Linked DNA regions of Schizosaccharomyces pombe. Changing the gene in region 1 together with any one later gene gives a genetic interaction. Each region holds a gene or a part of one and is shown in the gene's direction. Other genes may lie near its edges.

What was found.
Region 2: of oxs1 (region 1) and obr1, changing one suppresses a phenotype caused by changing the other (phenotypic suppression), as found in Schizosaccharomyces pombe (one study listed by BioGRID).

The regions. Positions count from the first base shown.
Region 1 is NC_003423.3:2,558,264-2,567,853, forward strand, and holds oxs1 (oxidative stress transcription coactivator/ribosome recycling protein Oxs1), read left to right. Parts: upstream 1-8,170; coding exon 8,171-8,704; intron 8,705-8,812; coding exon 8,813-8,902; 3' UTR 8,903-9,090; downstream 9,091-9,590. Other genes in the region: ATP-dependent RNA helicase Dbl8, read right to left, coding at 1-4,864; guanyl-nucleotide exchange factor Muk1, read right to left, coding at 5,663-6,485, 6,534-6,919; atp7 (F0-ATPase subunit D), read left to right, coding at 9,438-9,590.
Region 2 is NC_003424.3:2,092,162-2,097,493, reverse strand, and holds obr1 (NAD(P)H dehydrogenase (quinone)), read left to right. Parts: upstream 1-2,509; 5' UTR 2,510-2,602; coding exon 2,603-3,211; 3' UTR 3,212-3,384; downstream 3,385-5,332. Other genes in the region: SPOM_SPAC25A8.03C (uncharacterized protein), read left to right, coding at 1-1,112; SPOM_SPAC3C7.13C (glucose-6-phosphate 1-dehydrogenase), read left to right, coding at 4,552-5,332. UniProt on the Schizosaccharomyces pombe protein: Unknown. Target of pap1 transcription factor. Confers brefeldin A resistance in S.pombe.

The DNA.
Region 1 (9,590 bases):
GCTGCGGATCCTCGTGCCAAGGTCGAGATGTCACTGCTGACATATTGGGACCGTCAAGTAGTTTTGAATTATAGAAAAACTTGCTGGGAAATCGGCTAATTTCAGGATTCATTCTATACTGTATGCTAAGAAGACAAGCGCTCTCATTATGCTGTTTGAACATTCTGACATATAGAGATTGTGAATATCCAAACTTTGCAGAGGTTTTTGATAGCACAGTAGGAGGAAGCTGATTCGGATCACCAACCATTACACAGCTCTCACAGCCATACTTAAGAGGTATGATTGAACTTAATTCAACGGCTTGTGCAGCTTCATCAATTATGACAGTTCGAAAAGTCAAACCCGCATTTAAAAGTAGTTCATGACCACTCGCAGATAAGGTAGCACATACAATATCAGCTTCCTGAAGTAGTTGATTTTGTATTTGTTTTTTCAAAACATCCAGATTACGATTAGTTGAGCGTTGACGTTCTCTCATATCATCAAGGCTCTGTTCAAGCATGTTTTTCTGTTTGGTAATCTCACGAAGCTGTGCTTCCAATATTGAACTATTTTTTCCAGTACTACGAAACTTTTCTAGATCTTCGCGTAAAGAGTCCCTTTTTTTAATAATTGAGTCATATTTTTTCCGAGTATCACTGGAATTGTTTGCTTCTTGATCTTTCTTTAGGTTCGTAAGTTCCATTTGCTTTATCATTTGCTCTTCCAAAGTAAATTCTTTAGCGTGAACGCTTATGGAGTCACCAAATCCAACACGAATAACTTTTGGAAAAAATTTGATACCCTCATGATCGTAAACACCGGCTTTGATACGAAGGAGAATTTCATCTATGGCTGCATTACTAGGAGCGCATATTAAAATCTTATTCTTTGAGGTTTTTCGCGTCTGTCCTGGGACATTAAATTGCAACCCTTGACTAGAAGAAGTAAGTACAGCTCCAATCATGCCTAGAATGGTTTTAGTTTTTCCAGTTCCAGGAGGCCCTTGAATGAGCGTAAAACCATCATTTACAGAAGATGCATAAATCGCATATGCCTGGGGTTCATTTACACCATAAGACTTCATTATTTTTTGCTTTTTGTCATCTGTAAAATTTGAAGGTAGACGCGTTACATTGGCATCCAGAATTCTCTGAGACAATGGTAAATGGCGAAGAGATTTTAAAGCAGCAAATTCACGTAAGCTAGTAGTAGCATTAAATAATTTTTGTGCTGTGAACCTAATGTTCGGTGCATACTCCTGTAGATCAATTGATTCAATATTCATCCGCAGACAGAGTTCAAGTGATTCTTTTTTACGAGAAATGGATTGAATTTTGCACAACTGAAAAGATTTTGGGTTATTAGTATCGCCCGAACTTTGTGATTTTGACAGTAAGCAAATATCTGTATCACTTAAAAAAGAGACTTCGGTAGGTGAACAGGACGTAAAGTAAATATCGACAAAGTTATCAACTGTACTGCGGGTGTTGAGGATTAAATCTATGGGAGGGTATTGCTTTTCTTCAACGGCACTTTTCACTTGAGCCCAACATTCATGAAACAACATTGGTTTGAAAACTTTCTCATAAGCGTTTGAATCATTATACGTGAATTTAGCTTGGACGCACTGCATCTCAACATTAGACGCCGAAAAAGAATCAGCTAATGGGTTCCAACCCAAAATTACTTTGTAAAACTCTTGAACATCAGGGTTTAGCCGGAGTCGAGCAAGTTGTGCACTTTGTTGAGTATTACGGCGCAATTGAGTAGGATGAACTACATTTTTTGTTTTAAGGGAATCAAAGTCCAAGAACTGAATCTGCCTTCTTTGTGGAAGAGATTTAGAGGCATGAGAATTAGCTTCACGTGCAAGCGAGAATAGACCGTTACTAGACTCTTCTTCGGACTCCGAGGTATCTTCATCGGAAGTTGAAGTATTTTTGTCATCTGGATTAGAATAACTTTTAGAAGTGTGCAAAAGTGAAGGCTTGCGAATTGGGTCAGCAGAATCGAGCTTTTGCAAAGCTTTTGGTATATGATTATCCGAATTAAGTTTCTCAGAAAGATGGTTCCCCGCACTGGTTCTTGGAACTTTCGCGGATTCGCGAATTCGCTGTGTTGTCTCTTGTTTAGATTTCAAAAAATTTAAATTTTGAGATTTTTGAGCATTTCTATTGATGGCTTTAGAAGCAGAAATAGCCTTCGGAGGAAGCAAAAAATGATTTGAAGTACTAATGTTTGACTCAGGTAATTTTTTCGCAATCCCAATAGTCTGGTCTTTAGAAAGCAAACCCCGATCATCACTCTGTAACTTAGTTTCAAGCGTATTGGTATCATTGAAAGGAGAGTGATTAAGAACGTCTTCTGAAAGGTATGGTGTGAGCGATATAAAAAGATCCTCTCTCTCAGTGAATGTAAGAATTGTTTGTTCATCACTGGTAATTGATGCCCTATGGATAATATCAATCACATTTTGACTAATTGGACACTCCAACTTTTTACAAATTTTAAGCATTTTACAAATCACTTTCACAACGGATGTTAGAAGTGAAGAATCAGTTAACTTAAGCCAATAAGATACAGTAACCAAAGAATCAGCTATACACATAGCTAAAGCACTGCCCTTATCATTAGCCGAAACAATTTTAATATCGTTATCCGATAATCCAAAAATGAATCCGTTAACTTCCTCAAAAATATTAATGAGCATATCGCAAAAATCAAGGGTATCCCGCATTAAATCAACTAAATTGTCCTTATCATGAACTGGCCAAGTAGGAAGAACAATGAAAAAATGAGTAAAGAATTTCCATAACGATTCCCAGAAATTCTTAAGGGATTCTTTCTTTTCCACTTGTTTTGCAAAAGTCGCATCCTTAGAAGTTAAGCCATCAACAGAGTCAAAAATAGTGTTTATAATTAATTTATTAAAATAAACAATGTGCTTGGCTCCTCCAAAGTTTCTGACTTTAAGCCACTGCAGAAGAACATAACATGAAGAATTTAGTGTATTTGAAAACTGGCTTCTCAATAGCTCTCCTATAGTATCAACAACGCTGTCAGAAAGCGAAATAGATTTAATAATTGAGATACTTCCTGTTGAGATCTCAAGAATTGGAGAAAAAACGAGTGAAAAGATTCCACGAAAAGTTAAAGGATTTGAAACCAATTGGGTTTGTGCCGACAAATGCCAACATTGAGTCTGAATAAGCATTTCAGAAAATGTTGCAACAAATCCGTTTAGTGCATTTTCGAAATCACTTTTGAACGGAATGTCAACTTTCTTAGGCGGCAACTTATCAATCAAGCAAACTGTAGAGCAAGCACGAAAAACAATACGAACCATAAAGAACTTCTCCTCTCGAAATACGTTTTGCAAATATACCCAAAAATTTTTAAAAGACTCACTTACCGATTTGATATTCAAGGGTGGCTTTCTATTTCTGTCCAAATAATGGCAATAGAATTGCTTCAAAATATAAAGATCTAAATTCAATCGGTATTCAAAAACTTTCTTAATAAGCCTCCATTCAACAGACTCTTCATTTTCCAAGTTTAGCAAACGAAACAGCTCGTCAAACTTAATCGCTAAAGTGGAATGTAATTCAAATACTTTGTTTTGTAAACTTTGATCACTATGGGGGAAAATCATAAAATATTCGGAAAACAAAACTGAAAATATGTCAGCAAGTGATTGAAGTAACTGAACATTTTTGAAACCGACTTCCAGTTCCTTTTTATATTGCATGGTGTAATTAATCAAAATTTTGTTAATTAATTCAACTTCATCAATGATTGAAATTGTCTTCAAAAGAGAGGTAGCCCATTCAAACGGATTCTCTGCCTTTTGGTCGTTTGAAAAATTGGATGTATTTTCTTCTGTCCACCTCTTATAAGCATTACCATTAAAAATTTTATCTATTACTTCACTGGGAGAAATTTCTGGCGTCCAAAAATTACGTCCATAGCAGTATAACAAAGAATGTAAACATACAAGGAAAGACGGACATAAATTAGTATGGTCGCTTTGCAATCCCGAAAGAATAAAATCGGCGACATTGAAATTTTTTCCTGTAAGTCCCCTAAAATAAAGATGATCAACATGCTTTAACAGCAACGATAAACCTTTCAGAAAAATTTGCATCTCGTTCTCATTTTCTTTCTTCTGGTCTAAAGAACGAATTTCCTGAAGAAGGGGACCCTCAAGGATTTTAAATTCATTATCGGAGATTGTTTTTACATCACTTAAAATACTGCAAGCCCATCTTCGGAGCTCATCATCTCTCGAGAAGAGAAGACTTATGACACCTGGCACTAGGTTTTTCGAGAGCCGAAGAAAACCGGACTCAAGAAATCTGTTTCGGAACAAGGGAAAGATTTCTTTATTATGTAAAATACGAGGAGAGTATAAGATTTCGTAGAAGGCGCATAGTATAGGTTTAGAGGCCGAGGACGTGTCGATTTTAGGCACTGTTTTGAGAACTTCCTGTAACCGAAAAATGTCCCAACTATAAATTTTCTCCATTACAATCTCAAGAGTATTTGGGTCAAAGTGAAAAATGTTTAAACATAGACTTTTGAAATCATCTAAAGATTGGTGATATTTAACTATACATTTGGGGCATAACTGAAGGCGTTCGTTCAAATGTTTTTTGAACCATACCAGATACTCGTTATCATTTTGAAAAGAAAATAGAAAAAGACATTCACGAACTGCTACTTGTAATTTAGGATCACAAACCCAATGAGGGTTTTGTCTGTTAGTATTTAGGTATGAAAGCGCCAAATGCAAAACTTTATTGGACCCTTCGAAAGATGGGTGTTTTTGATTTTCCTGAATTTTTCTTATTAATCTATCAAAAGCCTCGTCATTTTCCATAACCACAAGCTAATGCTGCATTCTCACTCTCGAAGTAGACTTATTAAAGCGCGACTGCAATTTTTCAAAATCTAGGTTTCTAAGGAAGTAAATTACACTATTCACTATAAACATTTAGTGCAACCAATCATTTGATGTCCACACAGCACTCGATTATCGCATTGAAATAAAATAGCCTTAAGAGAAATTTTAAATAAAAAAATGAACGTATATTTTGAAAGTGTATATAAATTCATGTACCAAAATCACGCTTCTTTATTGTAATTAAGATATATATGATTATCCGAAATATATTTTAAACATTACTATATATAATGTGACAACTTAAAAAACTTTCTTACCCATTATAATCCGAAGTTTGTGATTGTGTGTTTAATTCCTAGTTTCAAATATGACTATTTTCTTCACTGAGCAAAGAATCACAGTTCATTTTATTCAGTATATTTAAAAATTTTGCAGTAACATGATATATTCGTTTCATATATTTCCTTTGTAAGGATTTAATTCGCATGCAATCTTTGCGTCAACATACAAGCTTAAATCATTTTTGCTAGTTCTTTGTGATATTCATACATTAATAAAATAGACGTCAAGGAATAATCAATCCTTGTTTTGAATAAAAATTTTCTTTTAAACTTTTAAGCTGTTCACGAATTGACCTGCAACAAAGAAAAAAAAAATATTGATCAATCATATAACTTTTCTATATGACTTTGTCTCTCAAATGAATCAAATAACCATAAACAAAGCCGAAAACCAACTGGATGTGAAATTTTTAAAGAAAATATTCAGTCAAAATTACTGATTACCATTTTTCTCAAAAAGCAAACGTGCGAGGCGCTTATAGTCAGAAAGAAGAAGTTCAATTTCACCGATTTTAAGATCGCTAGCATCAGAAACAGTCAAAAAGCGTTCCAAAGGTGGGTCGCCCACGAATTCTACAGAATTGGAAGAATCTTCTGAACTTTTGGCAGTGTGATTGGCTACTTTACTAAGTAGAGAGGCATAAGATTTCTCAAGTGCTAGTCCCAGATTTCTTAAATTAGATAAAGATGAGCGATTCACAGGGTAGGGTTCTGCACTCGGATCATGAAGCGAGTTAGAGGTCGAAACTGTTTCGCTATTAGCTACCTCAAGTGAAAGAGGATCATCAGAGGGTTGAATTGACGATTGAGTTAAAAGATTTGGACAAGCTCGAAGAATAAAAGTAAGGGCTGCCTCAAAAGTTGTGAGACAGTATCTTTGCTCTCCGCTTAAAAAATCTGCATTTCGAAAGCGTAACACAAAATTCAGGTGCGATATTAAATGAAATCCGGGATAACAGAGAATGCAATATATGGTCAAATTTAATAAAGAATCAGCATTCAATTCTTCTTGAGGAAGTTGAGAGGCATTCAATATACTTGAATTAACGGTCATAAAAGTGTTTATTTTCGATCTAGGTGTGTGTTGCTCATCGAGAGCAAAAAATGCTTCAGAGACTTCATGTAACCGGTTTGTAAGTTTTTCATCATCAGGTATTGGAATGCAATTGATAAGTTCTTTCTTTTCTTCAGAAGCAATAAATTTTTTTAACAAGTCATCTTTGGCAGCATCCGTACTTGTAGATAAACAGAAAATCCTAACACAATATTAGTAAACAGTTATTGTAGGCGAAGTAATCACATACCGATCATACAAATATTCGCAAACTATATCTTCAATTTGGTCCATCCATTCATCTTTTTGGTTCAGCAAGTGTTGTCTCGCCTTTTTCTGAGCATCTATTTCCTCAGGAAACAAAAGAGGCACATTTTGATCTTTTGAAGAGGGTTGAGGGATAAGGGTTGAAGCAATAAACTCATCGGTATGCTTGTAAAAGTTTTGAAATGCTTTTGCTAGTTCTTCAGGCGAAAGCAATTGAGGGTGAACCGGACTAACTAGAGAAGAGATAAACTGTATCACACATGCTTGTACAGTAGTTGGAAGATTTGATGCAGAATTTGGGAGTTTGATGTCTTCTTCCTTAGGCTTATTTGTATATTTAACAGCTCTCCAAGAATTCAGAAAGCTCATCGAAAGGAACTTTTACGAAAGGTGATCAAAAAGTTTAATTTTCAAAAATAAAATTAAACGAAAAAAAATTCTATATATACATGTAACTAAGAATATGTTAGCATAGGGTCTAATTCAAATTTTCAAATTTATATCAGATAGGATAAACAGCAATCGAAGGAACCGAGTACGAAGTATTCGTTGAGAGTCAAAAATATAACAATATATCCCTAATAGAAAATATACATCGTTTTAAAGCTATAAATGCTAGCAATTCCTTCTTTACCTTTGTCGTATGACAAGTTTTCAAGTAATTGTCAAAATATAGAGACACGAATTAAAAAAATAAGAACGTTGATTAAGAACTTGATATAAAATGAAATAATAATCAGAGGTAATGCTTACTTGACTTTAACTTATAAACCCTTCAAAATAGAGGAACAGTGCTGGTAGAACCAAAATTGATATGCATTCATGTTTCGGCATAATAATAGCGTATACTCGTTAAGAAACCGTATACTGTAAATGTAAATAATAGGATGAGTAAATTTAAGTGCTAAAAAAAATAATTTAGAATTATAGATTCATTAATTCCTTTAACAATTAAGATGATCGGAATGTTAGTTTGTACGTTATTTGTATCGAAGATGAAGTTTAATACTTATATAGATTACAATAAACTAATCAATACTTGAAAGCAATTGTTCACTGTACGATATTGTTGAATAATTTGGCAAGAATAAGCATTTAATTTGATGATATATTTTACTTTTTCAAACTTCATGAAATACACATCGAAGTCCATAACAATTGTCATGATATAATATTGTAATTGAAGAGTATGATCAATTTACATCGGTTGACTTTGTTTCTCTTTTTAATGAGTTATCACTGTTAAGAATGCCATCATGTCATAAAAAGGATTTATGGTGTATTATGCAGTGTCTATACCATTCAATATACCCTTAGCCTGCATCAAGGCATTTAAGGAAATAAATAGTAGCAGATTTCCAATTAAGAACTTTTATTTTCTATTTTAGTGATAAAAATTCAGTTACATACCAACGTTTGACGCCGTTTGTTCAGTGTTATCAATACACCTTTGTAAATACACTGATAAAAATAGGGAGATATAACGAGACATTCACTTATAAAAATTATCAGATCAGATTATTAATCCATCCTTCGTCGCCTTTCTTATAACGAGGCGGCATATAGAAATCACCTGTTGTTCAAGTCATTCAAATCTCACATACCATTAATAGCCTTGATATGGGGAATCCAAAAAAGAGAGCAGAAAAGGCCGAAGCGGCAAAATCTAGAAAACAAGACGAGGAAAAGAAAAAAAAAGACGCTGAAGAAGACGAAAAATGGTCCAAGGGCGTCAAAACTAATAAAAAGGAGCAAGAAGCTGAAAAACGAAAAGCTGCGTTGGAGAGGAAAGCTGAACGTGAACGTTTAGAAAAAGAAGAAATGGAGAGTCTTCCATCTAAAGGAGGAAAGGGGTCAAAGAAGGCTGCAAAGAAGAATTCATCTTTAGACGCTTTCCTCAACGAAACCCCTCAGACAGCTTCATATAGTGCCCGCAATATTGATGATGCTTTGGATTTGTTAAGTTTAAACAATTCATCGTCCAAAGATAAAATTGATCGTCATCCTGAACGTCGGTTTAAAGCAGCTTTGACAGAATACAAACAATCTCGTTTGCCTGAACTACGCAAAGAACAACCGGGCCTCCGTTTAAACCAATATGAAGACATAATGTATAAAGAATTTCAGAAACATCCGGACAATCCTTTCAATAAGGTAAGAAGCGATAAGGGTACATGCATACTCTTTTTGATGATGACCATATCATGTATAAACCCTAAACAGGAAAACCATTGTAAATATCATTTTTACTAACAATTTCAGATGAATGTGAGCTATAACACTAGTCAAGATGAGGTTGAACAGCTTCGTAAAGCTCGTAAAGCAGAATTGGAAGCACGTTTACGCGAGTAACTATAGTTATGGCAATATGTTTAGAACTTTTCTTTTTCCTTTTTACTATGGTAATTCTTTTATATTATTTATAAATTATCAATAAACCAATTACTAAATAATTTTTCTCGACATTCAAAAATGAAATCTTAAATTAAACATGAGAAGTACAAAGTGATTTGGTGATACACCGGTAAATCAAAATTTACAGCTAACTTTGAATTTCTATTAGCACAAGAATGAGTGGAGCGTATACTAATTGTAGGGCACAAGTTCTATTCTAACCGCTTAATTTTTTTTTTTGTAGTAATTTTGTACTTGTTGCTTTCATTTACCCAATTATATGATATTTTTTGAACCATTAAGGAAGCCTACTGCTGAAAGCCAAACCACCTGGCAATATGGCTCTGGCAATGCTAAATCATCCGTTCCCCAACTACCCCCATCTCTTCAACACATAACCAAAAGCAGGAAATATTTATAAGACAGTTAAATTGTTTAACAATATAACTGTTATTTTATTGAATTTTGAATTTTTTCTTCTTTATTTACGCAAATGTCGAAAGTTGCTAGCGCTGCTGGAAAGGCGATTGATTGGGCTAGTGTAGCTAGCAAGCTGAAGCTTGATGCCGCAACTGCTTCTGCTATTGCTAATTTTCGCTCTCGTCATGCTCAGGCAGTTGCCAAATTGGGTACATTGCGAGAGCAG
Region 2 (5,332 bases), on another chromosome or scaffold:
AAGGGCATAAATGTTCCAAAGAATTTGATCCTTTTTTGCATGGAATACCTATTCCTCAAAAGGCATTAAACATCTATGAAAAGCAAAGGTCTCTATTCTCTGAGTCCATTAGTAACTACTTGGTGTTGCAGTATAAACTTCGATATTTCCCGGTGTTTGATTTGAAAATATATGATTTTCATTCTGGGACTGGAATAATAGCATTGGATATTCTTGATTATCTTTATAAAAATCACCTTGAAGTTTATGGACGTACTACATACAATATAGTCTTGCATAATTCTTGGCAAGCAAGCTGGTTTAAGAGCATGTTGACATCTGTGAGATATGCAAAGCATGGAGATCATATTGATATATATGTTAGTGATCCATTAACGTGGAACCATACTGATACAAATCCTTGCTTTGTATTGGCATTACAGGTAATTAGCTCCTTCGGTCATGATTTATTTCGTCAGAGTAACGGCGCCATGATGATGGAACGGTGCTGGCTTGGTCCAGAGCACTTTTTAAACGAATTCTTCACTCTAAATACTCACCAAAAAGTTAGCTCTTTGAATTACCATTTAGCATTTCAACAAGCTAGGATTAATGTTCAGCAAGGGTTTAGCGACAGCAGGGCTAAACGGTACTTTTCCGGTGTTAAACAAGTATTTTGGTCCTTTTTTAGCACGCAAAAACTCACATACTATCCTACGAAAGCCATTAGATTTTTTGAACGATTGTCAAAACAGTTTCCGCACCACAGTCTGCTTTTGATGGACGTGTGTCACGTTGACAAATCCTTGCCTGGAATCAATGCACCGTCTGTTTTAAGTATGGAAAATGATTTTTCTACAAAAAAAATGTCTTCTAACATTGGGCACGTGTTTCAAAATGAGACCGTCAAATATGTGTTTCCCACACCTTTATATCTAGTTTCAGATATACTTCAGCTTGCTACTCATAATCGGTCCTTCATTTGTTCACTTCCCCATTTCTTAAGGCGATGGTCTAATGAACATGGTAGAAAGTTTTTCGTTCCTGTAGAACCGTCATCTAAAAACCTAAAAGTTCCTTATTCCTTCAACAATTACTACGTTGTCTCGTCTATGCCAACTTATTATTACTAAATGGCAAGTACTATTTTTCTTATTCTTTGTTCAACTTGAGAGGTGCACTAAGCGGGCTAGTGAATTGACTTTAGTTATTTATTTATTTATTTTTTGAAAATTGGTTATAAATAAAATAGCTTTAAATTGGAAAGAATATCATATTCAGTTAGGGTTGAAAAGGTTAAATAATGAAATTGCCAGTGTCAACTCGAAAGAGAATGCGAGCTTTAAACTGCATAAATAATTAAATATCGGAAATTTATACAATCTTCAAACGCAAGCCGTATTCAGTTTTGTATTGAACATCGATTGAATTGCTATAATCTTCCTATTAAAGATTTTGCAATAAACATTAATAATCCATTGAAATTTTTTTTTTTTTTTTTAAGAATCGAATTTTATTGTATTAAGACGTGATCCTAAACGCATTGTATAATATCATTGTGTTTTATTTTCCTGGGGTTTTTTTTTATTGCTTATTTAATTAATTAATTATTTATTTAATTAGTTAATTTATTTGCTTAGTTTATTACAACTCGTTCATCTTTTTATTTGGTTTTTTACTTTTAATTATTATTTCTTTTTTAATCATTCTTGAGAAATCGCTCTGTTTTGATTATGCGATTTATTTGCTATTGTCTTTTAGCACCTACAAATTTCTCAAGAATATTATCCTGTATGATGTTTTACATATGAATATATGAAATTGATTGATTTAAAATTGATACTATGATGAGAAAGGGAAGAGGTTTAACACTTCATTCTATAACCGTTTTCTTTTGTTTTCAGTGCTGACCAATTCCTTGCATACACAAAAACTTTCCAAGGATGATGATGGACTGGCTGACCATCAATGCATTTTGCACTTAAAATAGCGTACGTTTTATCGATTTACCGATGTTTTCCATTGGGTTGTGTTAAATTAGAGGTGACCGTAACCATGTTATTTTCCCAGTACTAAGTTAGTAGGAAAGCTATAGAGAAACCCAAAGTCCCCCACTTAGGCCAACAGTGGCGCAGCTACATCGATAAAGCAAAGATGAAAATAGCGATACAAAAGGTCAACACCAAAAACTCATCAAGCGAGCCAAAGTATGTAACCTCAGTTTACAGAAAATGGGACAGGTAATAACAAATGCCAACACCTGTGGAATGAAAGTATTTCAAGCACAAAATCGGTTTGTTTGATCTAAAGTGAGCATGAATGAGAGAGAAAGAAATAAAATAATAATAGAATCATTGTTTGAATAGGATTAGTCAGAAATGGTTCAATTTTCACAATCCTAGGATGAACCAAAGGTAGTTTACGTAATCTTGGTAATCAACCGCTGGTCCCAAAAAAACAGGAAATAAAAAAAAACACATCGGAGGCTTTCAAAAAATCTATATAAGGACGTAAAATTCCCTATATTTTTAAACGTTCCAAAGAAATTCAATCACAGCTTCATTCTTCACTGTCGTGCTTCGATTTCGTTATTTTATTACTCCAGCGTTTTATTAAACCCAGTATGTCTACCGCAAACACCGTCGCTATTGTGATTTATTCCACTTATGGCCATGTCGTCAAACTGGCTGAGGCCGAAAAGGCTGGCATTGAGAAAGCTGGTGGAAAAGCTGTCATTTATCAGTTCCCCGAGACATTGAGTCCTGAAATCTTGGAGAAGATGCATGCTGCACCCAAACCCAATTACCCTGTTGTTACACTCGATGTCTTAACGCAGTATGATGCCTTCCTCTTCGGTTATCCTACACGCTACGGCACTCCTCCTGCTCAGTTCCGTACTTTTTGGGACTCCACTGGTGGTTTATGGGTGCAAGGTGCTTTGCATGGAAAGTACTTTGGTCAGTTCTTTTCCACCGGTACCTTGGGCGGTGGTCAAGAAAGCACTGCTCTTACTGCCATGACCAGCTTTGTTCATCATGGAATGATTTTTGTACCTCTTGGCTATAAGAATACATTTTCACTCATGGCTAACGTTGAGTCCATTCATGGCGGCTCCAGCTGGGGCGCTGGTTCCTATGCTGGAGCCGACGGTTCTCGTAATGTATCCGATGATGAACTAGAAATTGCACGAATTCAAGGTGAGACTTTCTTCAAGACTGTTTTCCGCAAGTAAGACTTTGCGAATAGTATCTATTGAAACAGTGCAAATGATTGCACAATTTTGAGTTGAATCACCAACTGGCTTTTTTTGTTTACGCCCATGCATTGCATTGCTTGGCCAAGTAATGCACGTTTCGCTAGTTGATTGTTTATACCATAGAATGAATATTCAATTATTTCTCTTTTAAAGTAGAAGTCTTAGGAATGTATTTTCGCGTAATCCGTCACCTAATTGAGATGCTTAATGTAAAAAACATCCATTTTCTGTATCTCAACCATTCGATTTAGTAATGTGTCGTTTATAGCTAACTGAACAAAACGATATTTCTACGGATGTTCTCTCTTACAAATCGCTTTCGCCCTATATTCTTGGGAGTTATTATTTAATGCTCTTTTGCTATTTGTTAAAGACCACTCACTATTACTCGATTTTTCGACACGTGTGATGTATGTATGTATCGGCACTGATGATGATCAGAAAGACATCTTTCGATAATACCGCAACCATAAACTATCCCACGATTCCGTCTATCCTCGTTTGAGTTTCAATATTTTATTGTTCGTGCGAATTTAATAATTCAAGGTTATCACCTTTTTATTCTAGAGTTGTAAGTTTTTATATTAATTGCCTTTCTTTACTACTGCAGGTAAGTTTTGCTTATCAATCGAATCGTTCAAGGCTCCACCCCGCCGCAGAACTTTAAACAAACCCGGTTACACGCGTGTTGTAGGATCTAATTCAGCAGCACAAAAGATGTAAAAAAGAATTGGATTACAATGCCTTTTACACAACTTGTCTATCCTCTCAAACTTCTGATCGATACAAAAGCTCTTGCTCAGCGCTTTCGCCAAACTCCTGTAACCCTTATAGCATATTTCTATGCGAACTCTGATCCGCAGCTTAATGCAACTTAAACCATAACATTGGGAAGCTATTTTTGCATGCGTAAGGCTACCTAATATATCGTCATAGGCAATATGTTTTACTTGGCATATGATTTCATACTCTAAACCCAAGTCGTTTTGGTCTTATTATTTAAAGGATGGTTAGTCCATCAATGGGAAGGCACTGATTATTTCTAATTGAGAATTTTACCCCAAGGCTCTCTGATATCTTGAAAGCATTCCTGTACTGAAGGCTAACCTTGAATTGGTAAAGCACTTATTCATCGCGTATTCCTTTCGAATATACGCAAAGTTTCAGCCATTCTGTTCGTTATTTGATTATTGTTTTGTTGGAGATTTTATTAATAGGAAGTTATTTCTTTAGTTTTGCCATACATTATTGTTATTTGCTATATTAGTTTTCGCCCACTCGCTCTTCTACAGTTAAAGTTCATCTTATAAACAAAAATGGTTACTTTTATGGTATTTGGTGCATCAGGCAACCTCGCCAACAAAAAGACATTCCCTGCCCTGTTCCATCTCTTCAAACGAAACCTGGTAGATCGTTCTTCCTTTTACGTACTTGGATATGCTAGAAGTAAGATACCTATCGGTGAATTCAGGGAAAGTATTCGTGAATCTGTGAAGCCAGATACTGAAAGCAAACAGGTGTTTCAGGACTTCATTGACCGAGTATCTTACTTCAGTGGTCAGTATGATCAGAGCAGTTCTTATGTGGAATTTCGAAAACACCTAGAATCAGTTGAAAAAAAAGCAGACTCTTCGAAAGCACTTCGTATCTTTTATATCGCCTTACCACCATCTGTTTACGTGACAGTCAGTTCTCATATATATGAGAATTTATATTTACCAGGAAAATCGCGGTTAGTTATTGAAAAACCGTTTGGTAAAAACTATCAATCGGCTGTTAAACTCAAAGAAGAAGTTCATAAGCATTGGAAAGAGGAAGAAATTTATCGGATTGATCATTATACAGCCAAAGATATGGTTAACAATTTTTTCACCCTTCGTTTTGCAAACTCTTCGTCCATTGACGCAGTTTTAAATCGCCATTCTATTCAATCCGTCGAAATACACATGTATGAAACGGGAGGCTGTGAAGGCCGTATTGGTTACTATGATGCGAATGGAGTCGTTCGCGACGTCGTACAGAATCATTTAACTCAAATTTTTTGTATTGCTGCTATGAATGAACCGAAGTCTGCTTCTGCGAGTGATGTTCGTGCTG